Nothobranchius furzeri: one gene and its partners. The protein of the gene in region 3 purifies or fractionates together with the protein of the main gene of each other region. This does not show direct contact. Links are inferred from orthologs where the notes say so. Each region holds a gene or a part of one and is shown on either strand. Other genes may lie near its edges.

Region 1 (4,408 bases), on a different chromosome or scaffold from region 3:
GGATCGGCTGTAGGAACGCCGAGCGTCCTCACCTGGTAATAAATAAATGCTGCTCTTTGTGCAGATGGGGGCATTCACCGGTGGTCCCCTAATGAGACACAATGCATTAATGTCTGCCTTCAAAACCTTCCTGATGCAGCTAATTAATCCTTATGTCAGATTAATGAAGACACTAGCCAGTTACTTAGGTGGTTTCTGAACAAAGCCTGATGGTTTAAAACGCAACAGTAATATATTTTCTGGACTGGATATAGCCGATTTGATCACTACATTTATTTATTTTTTTTCTACTAGATTTGCTCAATTTGATCAGTTCACACGTTTTTTATCTTGTTTCTGTTTAAATTAGGACATGTCATGTAGTCCAAACACAAAATGGCAGTGAAATAATTCAACAGCTTCATCACAAACACTTTATATAAGAAAAACTGTCAGTTTCCAAAAGGCTTCAGATTAGCGAGTTAAAACGAAGGATTTACATGAAAGTTGCACATTTGAGAATAAACTTTTTATTTAACCACCTATGTGCTAGCATGTAAACCGGCGCCCTCTGGTGGACAAAATGATCATCTACAGAGCAGAACTGAATTTATTCTAAGTCACATAATTAGAAAACGGATCACTAATTTTTTCAAATATTAAGTCCTAATAATGTACAGCGGGAAAGGTGTGTATGTTCTAGATTAAATATGAAAATGAAGATTCTGAGTCTCAATTTAAAATTTGAACTACAAAATGTCCTCACAGACACACTATGTTATTTACATCAAACCTTTTTTACTCATCAAACGATCAAAGACAACTAAAGAAAGTCGATCTGCTTTGACAACTGATGAATGTTTGTACTCATAATTTACAGTTTGACAAAAGCAACATACTTCTACCATCGGCACACCTACACTTTTTCAAGAGGAACTTGAGCACATTTGAATTGTGATCCAATTTCCATTTAATTTGAGCTTTAAGCAAAGAATTAGGCAGAGAGATAAAGCCGACCCAAAGTTTGTACCCTACAGCAGCCAGAACAAGAAAAGATATTCCCGTCACTCCGTAGAGTCAACCAGTCTCCTGTGGTTACTGGCTGAGCTCCTTGAGGCTGCGCAGTGAGCTGGCGCAGCTGGTGATGAGGCTGCAGAGCTGGATGCTTGCCTCAAGTGAGGATGAACTCTGTAACTGGGTAGTGGCCCAGCGAAGTTTAGTAAGAACTGCTTCCTCGGCTTCCTGCAGCACAGGTCGTAGAGCGGCGCTCTGCGGACTGACAGGGGTACGAATGGGAGCTACGCTTGGGCTGGAGACAGGAGCTGAAGGAGATGGGGCGGGAGGTGGAGGCAGGAGGGCTCTTCCTCCAGCAGCAGCGCCCTCACAGTGCTCTGGTCGGGGTTGAGGAACCGTCACCCCTGCCTGACTGCTGCTGCAGGGTGTCTCGTTGAGTTGAGAGGCTTGGGTCGGTGGAGGGGACTGAGCTGCAAGCTGCTGCTCTCTCACCTGAGACAATGCAGCCTGAGCATTCAGAGCTGGAAAACGGAACAAAGAGGTGGGACTGAAATATGAACTGGAGAGATTAAATCCTAAAGACACCACAGAGGAACCAGCTGCCCTTTTTTAGGGCCTAATGAGCTCCAAAATCAGGGGAGAGCAGACACAACTGGCGCTCACCAGGGTTATCTTTGTCGATATCAGAGTCCAGCTCCTGACACGAGACACAGTAGTTCTTCTGCTGCTTGTCCTGTAGAAGAATAGTCTGAAAACACACACACGAATACACACAATCACTTATATAGCCATAATTATGTTTTATAATATTTGTTACTACTTCAACTTCAGGACAAACTACCAGAGGCCCAAAAAGAACAAAAAAACACCACTTGAAGTCAGTCAACAAAAGATGTTTGGACCTAGAAAACAGTGACCGGTGTTTAGCGCCATCTCTTTTCCTCTGGCAATGCAGGTTCCTGTTTCCGGCCAAGGACAATCGCTGATGGGAGGGGTGAGCGTTCCTTGACAGTGTTTGAGTTTAAGCTTAGCTTGTTTTGAAGATTTGCTTTTACCTTTTTTAGTGTGTCATTACAACAAAATGATAACCGCAGTTCTCTTAAGGTAATTTGAATAAGTCAGTAAGTAAACATTTTGCAAAAATACTTTCATAAAACAAAAGATAAATTCCTTATTAATGCTTAGGCTCTGTCCTCAGCAGGGAGGCCACAGAGAGGTGCAAGATTGCTGTCAGGGTGGCACTGGCCCACCCTGGACCCACCCCAGAACCGCCTCGGGCCTGAACTCACCCCGCAAGCATCGCAGCACTCCCCCAGCATCTTGTAGCCTTTTAGAAGGTAGTCTCCCATCAGCTTGCTGATTTTATCTTGCCGTTCCCTTCGAGCTTGGATCACCTTCATCTCCGCCTCACATGGAGGTTCCCACTCAAAGTCCTCTTCATCTGCAGGTCAGCAACAACGGAGTAAATTAACTGAATCGCACCAGTGCAAAGCTACACAACCAGAAACACAGCTTTAATATTTACGCGTGGTGATTTATTTTCTCGTTGTTTGGCTGAATTTTTATCAAAAGGGGTCAGGAAATGACAAGTTAGCCAGAAATACAACGCTGTTATCGTGGAGATAACACTTTCCCCGGTGGCGATGAAAAATATTACAATAAAAATAAAAATACCGCAGAAATCACCGCTTAAATGAGTGCCAAACGACGTAAGACACTAAAACACACAGTGAAACGGCAAAGTTAGCAAGGAAATAACAGTTAAGTTCACATACCTCCATTCAAAGCCATGTTGCTTCAGTGCTACACGTTCTGCGTGATGACATCAGGCGCTGTCGTCGACTTCCTCTTCGTTCATCAAACTGAAACCATGCAGCGGGTTAGAGCGCCCCCATGTGGGGGTGATGCGCATAGACATGTAGACACCCGGCGCTGGAGAGCGTCACTGTGTCGCCGCCATATTGGATGGGTCTCCTTACTGTCCAAAGTCAATGCAGAGTGGACAAATTTGCCCGTTTTTTCCAGCCTACCATAGCTATGTGTATATAAACCATCGACATATACATGATATAAACACTAGTTGGTGAAAGCGAGAGTTGAGGGCGTAGCTAAACGGCGGCCATCTTACCCCAGACAACAGACCTCTGCTCTCAATGGTAGCAGCTGGAAGGTGAGCGATCAGCTTGATGTAAAACAATCTTTACTCGATTAAATATTAACACATTTACAAGCGATTTGCCTTGATACAAACCTTAGAACACATAGGCTTGAGATAACATACTTGCAAATGTTAAAATAAACGGTTTTGCTTTTGAAAGTGACTTAATTGTGAACCATGTGCCCCACCTATAGGCTATTTGCGTGTTATTCAGGTTGAGACCACAATAAGTAATTTATTTGGTTTTACAAAACCAATAACGATTTTACGACAGCCAATTATTTTTTGTCCAAATGGCTGTGTTTGGGGATTTATTTTTTTATTTTTTTGTATTGGCACTGGAGCCTATCTCCAGCAGTCAACGGGCATACAGGAGGGGTACACCCTGGACAGGTAGCCAGCAATATATATATATATATATATATATATATATATATATATATATATATATATATATACATACATAATTTAGCCTTAATCTATTCCTGTTCTGTGAAATAGGTTTTGTTTAGAGATGTTTCAAGATTATTTTGAGGTAAGCCCACATAAACAGAACACATATGCAAAATGTGCACCCCAAAAAATAAGACAACCAACATCCAAATTACATCGGTCAGCTAGAATGGGCCGCCAGCAATAAAATGTAACCCAGCTAATTATTTTGTATTTTCACTATTTCTCGACCTATTTATTGACTTTCTTTTATTCTGTCATGAATCGTGTGTTTGTCATGTGTTTATATACATATCTATGATTGCAACAACTGGCGTACTATTGAAAACAGATCACATGGGATTACTATGGACCTTTCTAGCCTACCTGATGGAATTTTATATCTTAATTTATTTCATCTACTTTTAATTATTATACCATACCATGTGTCTGATTTCGTGAAAAAAGCTTGATAAAATGTGATTTCAAGTTGGATAAGCACCTTCCTCAGTAGAAATGAATGCACTGGGGTGAATGGAGGCCCATCTAAGATGGCATCCGACGTTTGCTTATATATGCCTGTGGTGATGTATGTATGTATGTATGTATGTATGTATGTATGTATGTATGTATGTATGTATGTATGTATGTATGTATGTATGTATGTATGTATGTATGTATGTATGTATGTATGTATCTATCATCTATCTATCTATCTATCTATCTATCTATCTATCTATCTATCTATCTATCTATCTATCTATCTATCTATCTATCTATCTATCTATCTATCTATCTATCTATCTATCTATCTATCTATCTATC
Region 2 (3,650 bases), on a different chromosome or scaffold from region 3:
TCTTTCACCACTGAGGGCTCCATCTCAGAACTGGTCACAGTCTCTGCAACTCCCTCCTCTTTGCGGCTGAACAGGTGGTCCAGGTAGCTGGTGTAAGTGCTCTCCTTCTGGAAGTGGTCCACGTTACGAATGTCCCAGCATGCTTCATCTATCAGACATCCATTCTCCCCGACTATTTCCCCGGAGCTGAAGTTTTCCCAGGGCTTAGCGGGCCAAACGCAGTCTGCTGCAACAACCCCTAAACCACCTCCGCCTAACTGGGCAAGGTTTACCAGGCACTTCTCTTCCTTCTCCTGACTTATGGTCTTTGATACGGAGCTGGGGCGAGGAGCCTCCAGCTGGGAGACAGAAAAGTTGAGCTCATTCAGAAGGCCTACTTCGCTGAGCAAAGTCACCTCCTGACAGGGCTCAGGTTGCAGGCTCAGTTTAATGGTGCTGGCAATGAAGGAGTCAAAGTCAAAGCCTTGGTTCTGTTGACTTTGAGGTCTTTCGGTCTGGTGTTTTTCTTGTGCACTGTCCTTCTCTGCATGGCTCTGGGTCTTCTCAGCCTCCTTCAGAGCAATCTGGGCTTTAACAAGCCCATTCTTCTCACACTTGCTCTTGGCCTTGCGGTCTGCCTTCTCCTTGCTCTGCTGCTCTTTCCAGTTGGAGAGGTCGATGATGAGCTTGGGTTCGTAGTAGTGGTTGACTTCACTGTCCCTCCAGATGAGGTTGTCCAAATAGGAGGGTGACACAGCCTTGTAGTTGCAGGTGTGGCTACACTGCACGTCACAGTATTTATTCTCATGATGGTCTTCCTGCCAAGATCGCTCTGATGGATGGCGACTTGAGTAATCGAAGGATGGCTCGTCCATAAACTTCTCTCGATCTCCATCGGTGTATTTCCGTGGATCAATCTGGATGTAAACAACCAACCAACTCAAATTAGTAACATAAAAAAGGCACACAACTAAAAGTCTTTACAAGGACCTGGGGCCACCGGGTCCACTCATCGAGATCTACCATCATTCAAATTTTACCACACGCCTGATTTAAATGAAGGAGTGATCAACAAGCGTCTGCAGAACTCAACATGGTGAGGACTAGGTGGTGATTAAACCATTAGACTCTGTTGCTGAAGCAGGAAACGTGTAAAACACGCAGCATTGTAGTCCTTGAAGATTGGAGTTGAAGGCCCCTGACATGCATGTTGACAAAAGAAACATACCTGTACTTCCTCTTCATCTGTGACATCAGAGAGAGCTCTTGGATCAACCTGAACTTCATCTGGGTCATGGGTGCTGTGCAAGTGCCAATCAGCCTCTGAGAACTGGCTCTCGTGGTATCTGTTACAACATGGAAGGAGGACAATTTAGTCAACAAAACACATCGAATGACAAAAAAATCTGATAACAGTAAACAATGATATGTTCTCATGGGTCAAAGTTTAGATTGAAGACAGCAAAGCAAACAGTTACACCCCCCACAACTCCCTTCCTTAAAAAGGCTAATCTTATATTTCTATGTGGTTCGTATGAAATGGTCAGACATACTGTTCCCAGGTGTGGCTCTGGCTCTGATCCATGAGCAGGATATCATCTACTTCATCCTCAATGTGAAAGGGGTGCAGAGAGACGGGCTCATCCAAGGGGAAGGAGTAGTCAGCCATATAGGGGTGGGCCAGGGCCTCCTCTGCAGTCAGGCGATCCATGGGGTTAAAGGTGAGGATCTTCTCCAGAAAATCCAGGGCTGCAAAAGAGGAAAATGCAATTGTTTAGAGGAAAACAGAGGATCTGATGCATGAAGGATCTCACCAGACCACCTTACCCCCAACTCTGAAAGTTCTTTTGAATATATAATGTTGAGCTCACCCTGTGGACTAATGTCAGGCAACAGCTTGGCCAGCGGAGTGTGAGGCTTTGACATGTCACTGCGAATGAAGACAGGGATGACGCTGTGGAGCTCTTGCCGATCCTCCTCTCTCAGAACAGGGATGGATTCCAGGATCAGCTGCATTTGCTCAAGCTCATGTGCTCCTGAAACACCAGACGTTGGGTCGTTTCTTAGAAAGGTTACACAACATTCATGACTGAGAGGGTTTAGAAAGTCTAAAAGTGGCAGATCATGGGAGTAAATATGCCTCGTGCCCAGCTCAGGGAGGGTTTACCTAGCTTCTGCTAGATTTGAAAAAGTGAGCACTAAGAATAGTGAAAGCAAAACTGTGCTTCATCTATCTACCATCTCACCTAAACAGATTTAAGCAGGCAAGACAAACACACGCCTCAGACCAGTGCTACAAATTTACCTCTGACTTACACAAACAGCTTTAAAAACACTGTTCTTCTATAAGTTTGAAGACTGGATGCTAACACATGAATCCAAGTCAACATTTACCTGCAAAGAGTGTTTTCCCAGTGAGCATTTCAGAAAAGATGCATCCAGCCGCCCACATGTCGATAGCTTTGGTGTAGTTGTTAGGAGACAGCAGCAGCCGTGGAGATCGGTACCACTTTGTGACGAGACCTTCAGAGAGATGGCCCTGTGTCAGCAGGAGACAAGAAACATACGAGCCTTTGTTAAAAGAACAGTGTGATTCAGACATATTACACTATCTTTGGTTTCTCAGCAACCACTCAGTGATTAAAGTCATAAGTCTGCTGTGGGCCTCAAGCAGCAATGGTGATGACCATTTCCCCCACTAATTACCCGGTTTTCAACACAACAATAAGATCGTTCAGTTTTTTTAAGCAGAGTTAATTATCAGCAGTCAGTCTTCTGCAGCTTAAAAAGCTCCAAATATGATCTAGTTTGAAGCATCAGGCTGAAGCTCTCGCAGGGGAGTCGAGCTAACAGCTAGGCGGATTGGGGCCAAGACCAAAGTGAATTTCTGTCGTCTTAAAACAACTCGGGTCCCTAAAACCGTGTAGTGGTTAACGTGTCTGCTGTTTTCCACCACCACTTTGCAATTAGATAGTTCTTTACATAGAAGCCTATGGTTATCGAAGACCAGATGGCATGGTTGGTGTGAAAAGCACAGCAAAACAAAATGTTACGTATTACAGGTCAGAGTTAGTGATGACAAAGTAAGTAAATGAAATTGCTGTTTAACCATCTGAATGAAGGAGGGGTCGTTTTAAGGTGGCAGAACTCTTCATTTCTGGTCCCACTGACTAGCCACTAGCACAACCCCCGTTAGTGAAGTTGATTAATAATTTTTTGTGGTTCTTCATTATACACTAAGCAAAAAAAAGCTTTTTACCTTTGCCGACATGTTTCGACGTCTACTGCTGCCTTCGTCAGAGCAACCGCCGGTGTTCGTGGCGTCATTCCCGTTTGTTGCCACCAACGACAGCGCTGACATCAACAATGGCGGTTGCTCTGACGAAGGCAGCAGTAGACGTCAAAACATGTAGGCAAAGGTAACGCTTCTTTTGCTTTGTGTATAACGAAGAACCACAAAAAAAAAAAAAAAAAAGAAAAACAGAACAAACCTAACAAAGATGAAGCTGATAATGTTCTGAACTCTTTCTGCTTCAGCTTTACTGAAAACACCAGAGAACATTCACAAACCTAAACTACCCTTTACCAAATATGAACCAGACTCTTATCGGTGCTGAACTCCAAAACTCTAGGTTACCTCGTTGACAGATTTTCTTTGTGCTGGTCACGTA
Region 3 (3,650 bases):
GCAGGGGCTCCCTGGGGACATGGCAGTGGGGCCTTCTGAGCTGTCCTCTGGCAGAGGGGGGAGGTCCACTGAGACAAGAGAGGACAGACAGTCAGAGGGATCACAGACGTGACGTCATACGGTATCACCCCCTCTGGTCCTCACCCATGTCATCCATGATGGTGGCCTGGGCCGCCTGGCCGTAAAGGTCCACCACGGCATAGACGCTGGGCGGGACGTTCCATGCTGCCGGGCCCTGGGCCACGCCATTCACAAAGAAGTGAAGGCTGCCGTCTTCTTTCCGAACAACGCCGACGGTGTCGCCTGCCTGAGAGCAAAGGGAAAAAGAGAATTAAAACAAAACTGGTGAGTTACAGAAAGCTGAACGAACAAAAACCTGCTTACTTTGAGCCGATCCAGGTTGTGTCCATACTCGTCCAGGATGGTCGTTCCGTTGTGCATCACTCCGTTTCCTGTCATCATCCACGTCCCTGGAAAGCATCCTCCCACACATCAGACCTCCTCAGAAAGACGACAAACCAACAAAGTTCTCTGCTGTTCTCTCACCTGAGCGCAGGTTTGTCATGGTGGACGGCAGCTGAAGGTAGGCGGGGTTGTGTGTGGTGACACCAATCTCAATTGAGCCCGCCCACTTGTCCACCATCTTGTCGATGCGAACCTGGAACACCTCGTTGGAGCGCAGCGGCCGGTTGCTCAGAACCACACCGTGGTTGAAGTCATCTGTTGCACTGTTGTTAAATTAGCACCTTATTATTGTTCATTTGAGCTTAACGTGGAAAACTTGTTTTTCAGTAATCTATTACTCCTTTCCTTTTGGCGCGCTTTGTGAGAAAGTGAAAAGCTTTCAGAAAGCAGAATCGGTTTCGTAAAAACACATCAGAGTTTATTTATAGTTTTCAAATCAACCTACTTGATAAACTTGAGTATGTTGTGAGAAATCATAAGCTTTCAAAATGAAAATCAGCAACAGAAAAATCCCAAATTGGAATCGGCCAAAGAAACTAATCAGTGCATTTTTTATTTTTGGTTTCCAGACAGGGTGGGCCAACTAAGCTTGGTAGTATTTATAACAGATTTTAGTCATCAGGAAAACCATTTGGGATCTTCTTGTCTCGTCGTCTTCTCCCGCCTGTCCGGGTCCAGGTCGCGGGGGCAGCATCTCAACCAGGGAGTTCCAGGCCGTCCTCTCCCCAGCCACCTCCACCAGCTTCTCCAGTAGGCATTCGGAGATGTACTTTCTCTAACATGTCCTGGGTCGACCGGGGGCCTCCTGCCGGCAGGACGTGCCTGAAACACCTCCCCGGGGAGGCGTCCAGCAGGCATCCTAACAAGATGCCCAAACCACCTCAACTGACTCCTCTTGATATGGAGGAGCAGCGGCTCCTCACCCTATCCCCAAGCCTGAGCCCAGCCACCCCGTGGAGAAAACTCATTTCGGCCGCTTGTATCTGCGATCTTGTTCTTTCAGTCATTATTCAAAGCTCAGGAGGGAGCGGGAGACCGACAGGCGGATTGGGGCAGCGTCTGCAACGATTCGGACACTGAACCGGTGAAGAAGGAGCTGAGCCAGAAAGCAAGGCCCAGTCCTCACCTACGGCCATTTGGGATCTTAGCCTTTTTAATGATCTCAGGTAGGCCTGTTGCTGTTTGTCTGTAATTGGGCAAAGTTTGTGTACCTCTTTCATATTCCCAGTTTGCAGTCTGGATTCAAATCTCCTTTATGCTGTGTCACCAGTACTTTAAGTTCTGACGTTTATACCAGGGATGCACAAAATATCAGCTTTAACGTTGGCATACGGGTCGACGATAGTCATTTTCTTCGGTATCGGTCCGATATCAACAACCAATGTTTAGTTCTTTAGGTGGTATTTGTGTACAGGTTTGGGACGGCGGGTGCTGGTGGTCAGTCATTTGTTTGGTCATGTGACGGCGATCATCACGTTTGGAAAACGTTGGCCATAACGGCAACATCGGCCTAAATGTTGCCATCAGTGCACACCTACTTCGGATAGTCTCTCTTTGTGTGGACCAAAATATAATTCTACCTCTCATGAATGCTTCTGATGCATCCTAAACAACGTCTGGACTCATTCCCCAATAAGACTTTCTTCCAAAAACATTGTAACTGTCAGTTTAGATCATTGCAAACAGCTTCCATCTTGCGTTATCATCATTAGGTTCATTATTAGTGACAAAAGTTAAGAAACTGATCAACATAAATCTGTGCATTTTTACTAAATAGTTCAATAAAAGTGAAGCCATCATAAACCAGAGAGGACGAGCACTCACTGCGGTCGCAGCGCCGTCCTGCCGTCACAGATGATGGCCGCCTTCTGGCCACAGTTGGGGTGAAAGAGGAGGCGGTCGGGAGCTTCCGCGTCTGGAGTGAAGGACAGGGCGGGCCGGGGTCGACCCACGTCGGGCGACAGAGCCCTCATGATGGCGTTGTTGCGTCTGAGGCGGTCGCTGTGGTTGTGGTTGTGGACTATGGTGACTTTAACAGCCATGCCGTAGAGGTCCACCACACCATAGACCACGTTAGGGGTTTGGGCCGCTGCGACCCCTGGATGATGACACCACGGTTAGGACAGGAAGTCCTTTTAGCGTGACATCATGACTTGTTTAGGCGTCTCACCTTGATCGATTCCGTTGATGTAAAAATGGAGCGCACCGCTCGCTTTACGCATCAACCCGATGTGGTCTCCCTCCTACGATTAGATGTTATTAAAAAGAGGTAAAACAGCTCGACCTTTTCCGTCTCTGTCGGCTCAAACCTGCAGCTCGTCCAGACTGAAGTCGCAGTATTCCCGGCGGGTTCCCTTCCCGTTGGTTAATATCCCACAGCCACTCATCATGATTGTACCTGAGGGAGAAGACAGTACAACCATTCATGGATTAAAGCTCGTGTTTTTGTTTAAAACAAAAGTCTGGAGGGTTTGTTAGCCACCTGAGCGCAGATTGGTCATAGTAGCGGGATAGTCCAGGTTGTTGGGGTTGTGCGTCGTCACGCCGATCTCTATGGAGCCCGACCACTTGTCCACCAGTTTATCGATGCGGATCTAATTGGAAATAAAAACGCTGTTCTGTTAGCTCCGCTTGGTTTTCTATGTGGAGGTGAGACGGACGAGACTCCAAACACCTCAAACATCTCGTTGTGCCGGAGCGGCCGGTTGGTCATCACCACGCCATTGTTGAACTCGTCCAGAGGCCGCCGCCGCTCCGCCGTCTTGTTGTTATTACTCAGTTTAATCAGAGTGCCGCACTTTTCGTGGAACAGCAGCGCGTCGTTGGTGGTCATGCCGCCCGTCACGCCTCCAGATCCCACCCCTCCCGCATTACTGGCTGGGCTGTGGTCCGAATTCCCTCCTCCTGTTCCGGCGTCGCAGTTCGTCCCTCCTCCTCCTCCGCTGCTGCTACCTCTGTCGTTTCTGGAGGAGGAGTCAGTCCCAGCGTTTCCTCCTCCCTCTACACCTCCTCCTCCGCCCTCATCTTCAGAGCGATAAAAAGACACTATTGCATTGTTGAACACGTCAAAGAGCTGGTGCTCCGTCAGAACTGCAAAGAAACAGAAAGAGAATGGTTGTCAGCGCCGATCCAAGCAGCCTACATCTGATGTGGGGAGGCTGTCCTCACCAGCATCCGGCTCCAGG

What was found.
Region 1: the proteins of neurl4 (region 3) and znrd2 purify together in Homo sapiens (co-immunoprecipitation; 4 studies listed by BioGRID and IntAct, with this or other methods). This does not show direct contact. The link is inferred for Nothobranchius furzeri from reciprocal best matches to the Homo sapiens genes NEURL4 and ZNRD2.
Region 2: the proteins of neurl4 (region 3) and mapk6 purify together in Homo sapiens (affinity purification with mass spectrometry; 6 studies listed by BioGRID and IntAct, counting the BioPlex papers as one, with this or other methods). This does not show direct contact. The link is inferred for Nothobranchius furzeri from reciprocal best matches to the Homo sapiens genes NEURL4 and MAPK6.

What each region holds. Positions count from the first base shown.
Region 1 is NC_091750.1:56,222,018-56,226,425, forward strand, and holds znrd2 (protein ZNRD2), read right to left. Parts: upstream 2,864-4,408; 5' UTR 2,785-2,863; coding exon 2,769-2,784; intron 2,435-2,768; coding exon 2,283-2,434; intron 1,742-2,282; coding exon 1,657-1,741; intron 1,515-1,656; coding exon 1,075-1,514; 3' UTR 786-1,074; coding exon of another isoform or gene 773-785; 3' UTR 400-772; downstream 1-399. Other genes in the region: leucine repeat adapter protein 25-like, read right to left, coding at 1-149, 773-785. UniProt on the Homo sapiens protein: Might play a role in mitosis. Antigenic molecule. Could be a centromere-associated protein. May induce anti-centromere antibodies.
Region 2 is NC_091749.1:41,770,371-41,774,020, forward strand, and holds part of mapk6 (mitogen-activated protein kinase 6), read right to left. Parts: intron 2,519-3,650; coding exon 2,374-2,518; intron 2,016-2,373; coding exon 1,851-2,015; intron 1,729-1,850; coding exon 1,533-1,728; intron 1,326-1,532; coding exon 1,208-1,325; intron 897-1,207; coding exon 1-896. UniProt on the Homo sapiens protein: Atypical MAPK protein. Phosphorylates microtubule-associated protein 2 (MAP2) and MAPKAPK5.
Region 3 is NC_091742.1:53,442,412-53,446,061, reverse strand, and holds part of neurl4 (neuralized-like protein 4), read right to left. Parts: coding exon 3,634-3,650; intron 3,556-3,633; coding exon 3,140-3,555; intron 3,060-3,139; coding exon 2,948-3,059; intron 2,864-2,947; coding exon 2,775-2,863; intron 2,709-2,774; coding exon 2,636-2,708; intron 2,564-2,635; coding exon 2,290-2,563; intron 729-2,289; coding exon 547-728; intron 471-546; coding exon 385-470; intron 308-384; coding exon 145-307; intron 69-144; coding exon 1-68. UniProt on the Homo sapiens protein: Promotes CCP110 ubiquitination and proteasome-dependent degradation. By counteracting accumulation of CP110, maintains normal centriolar homeostasis and preventing formation of ectopic microtubular organizing centers.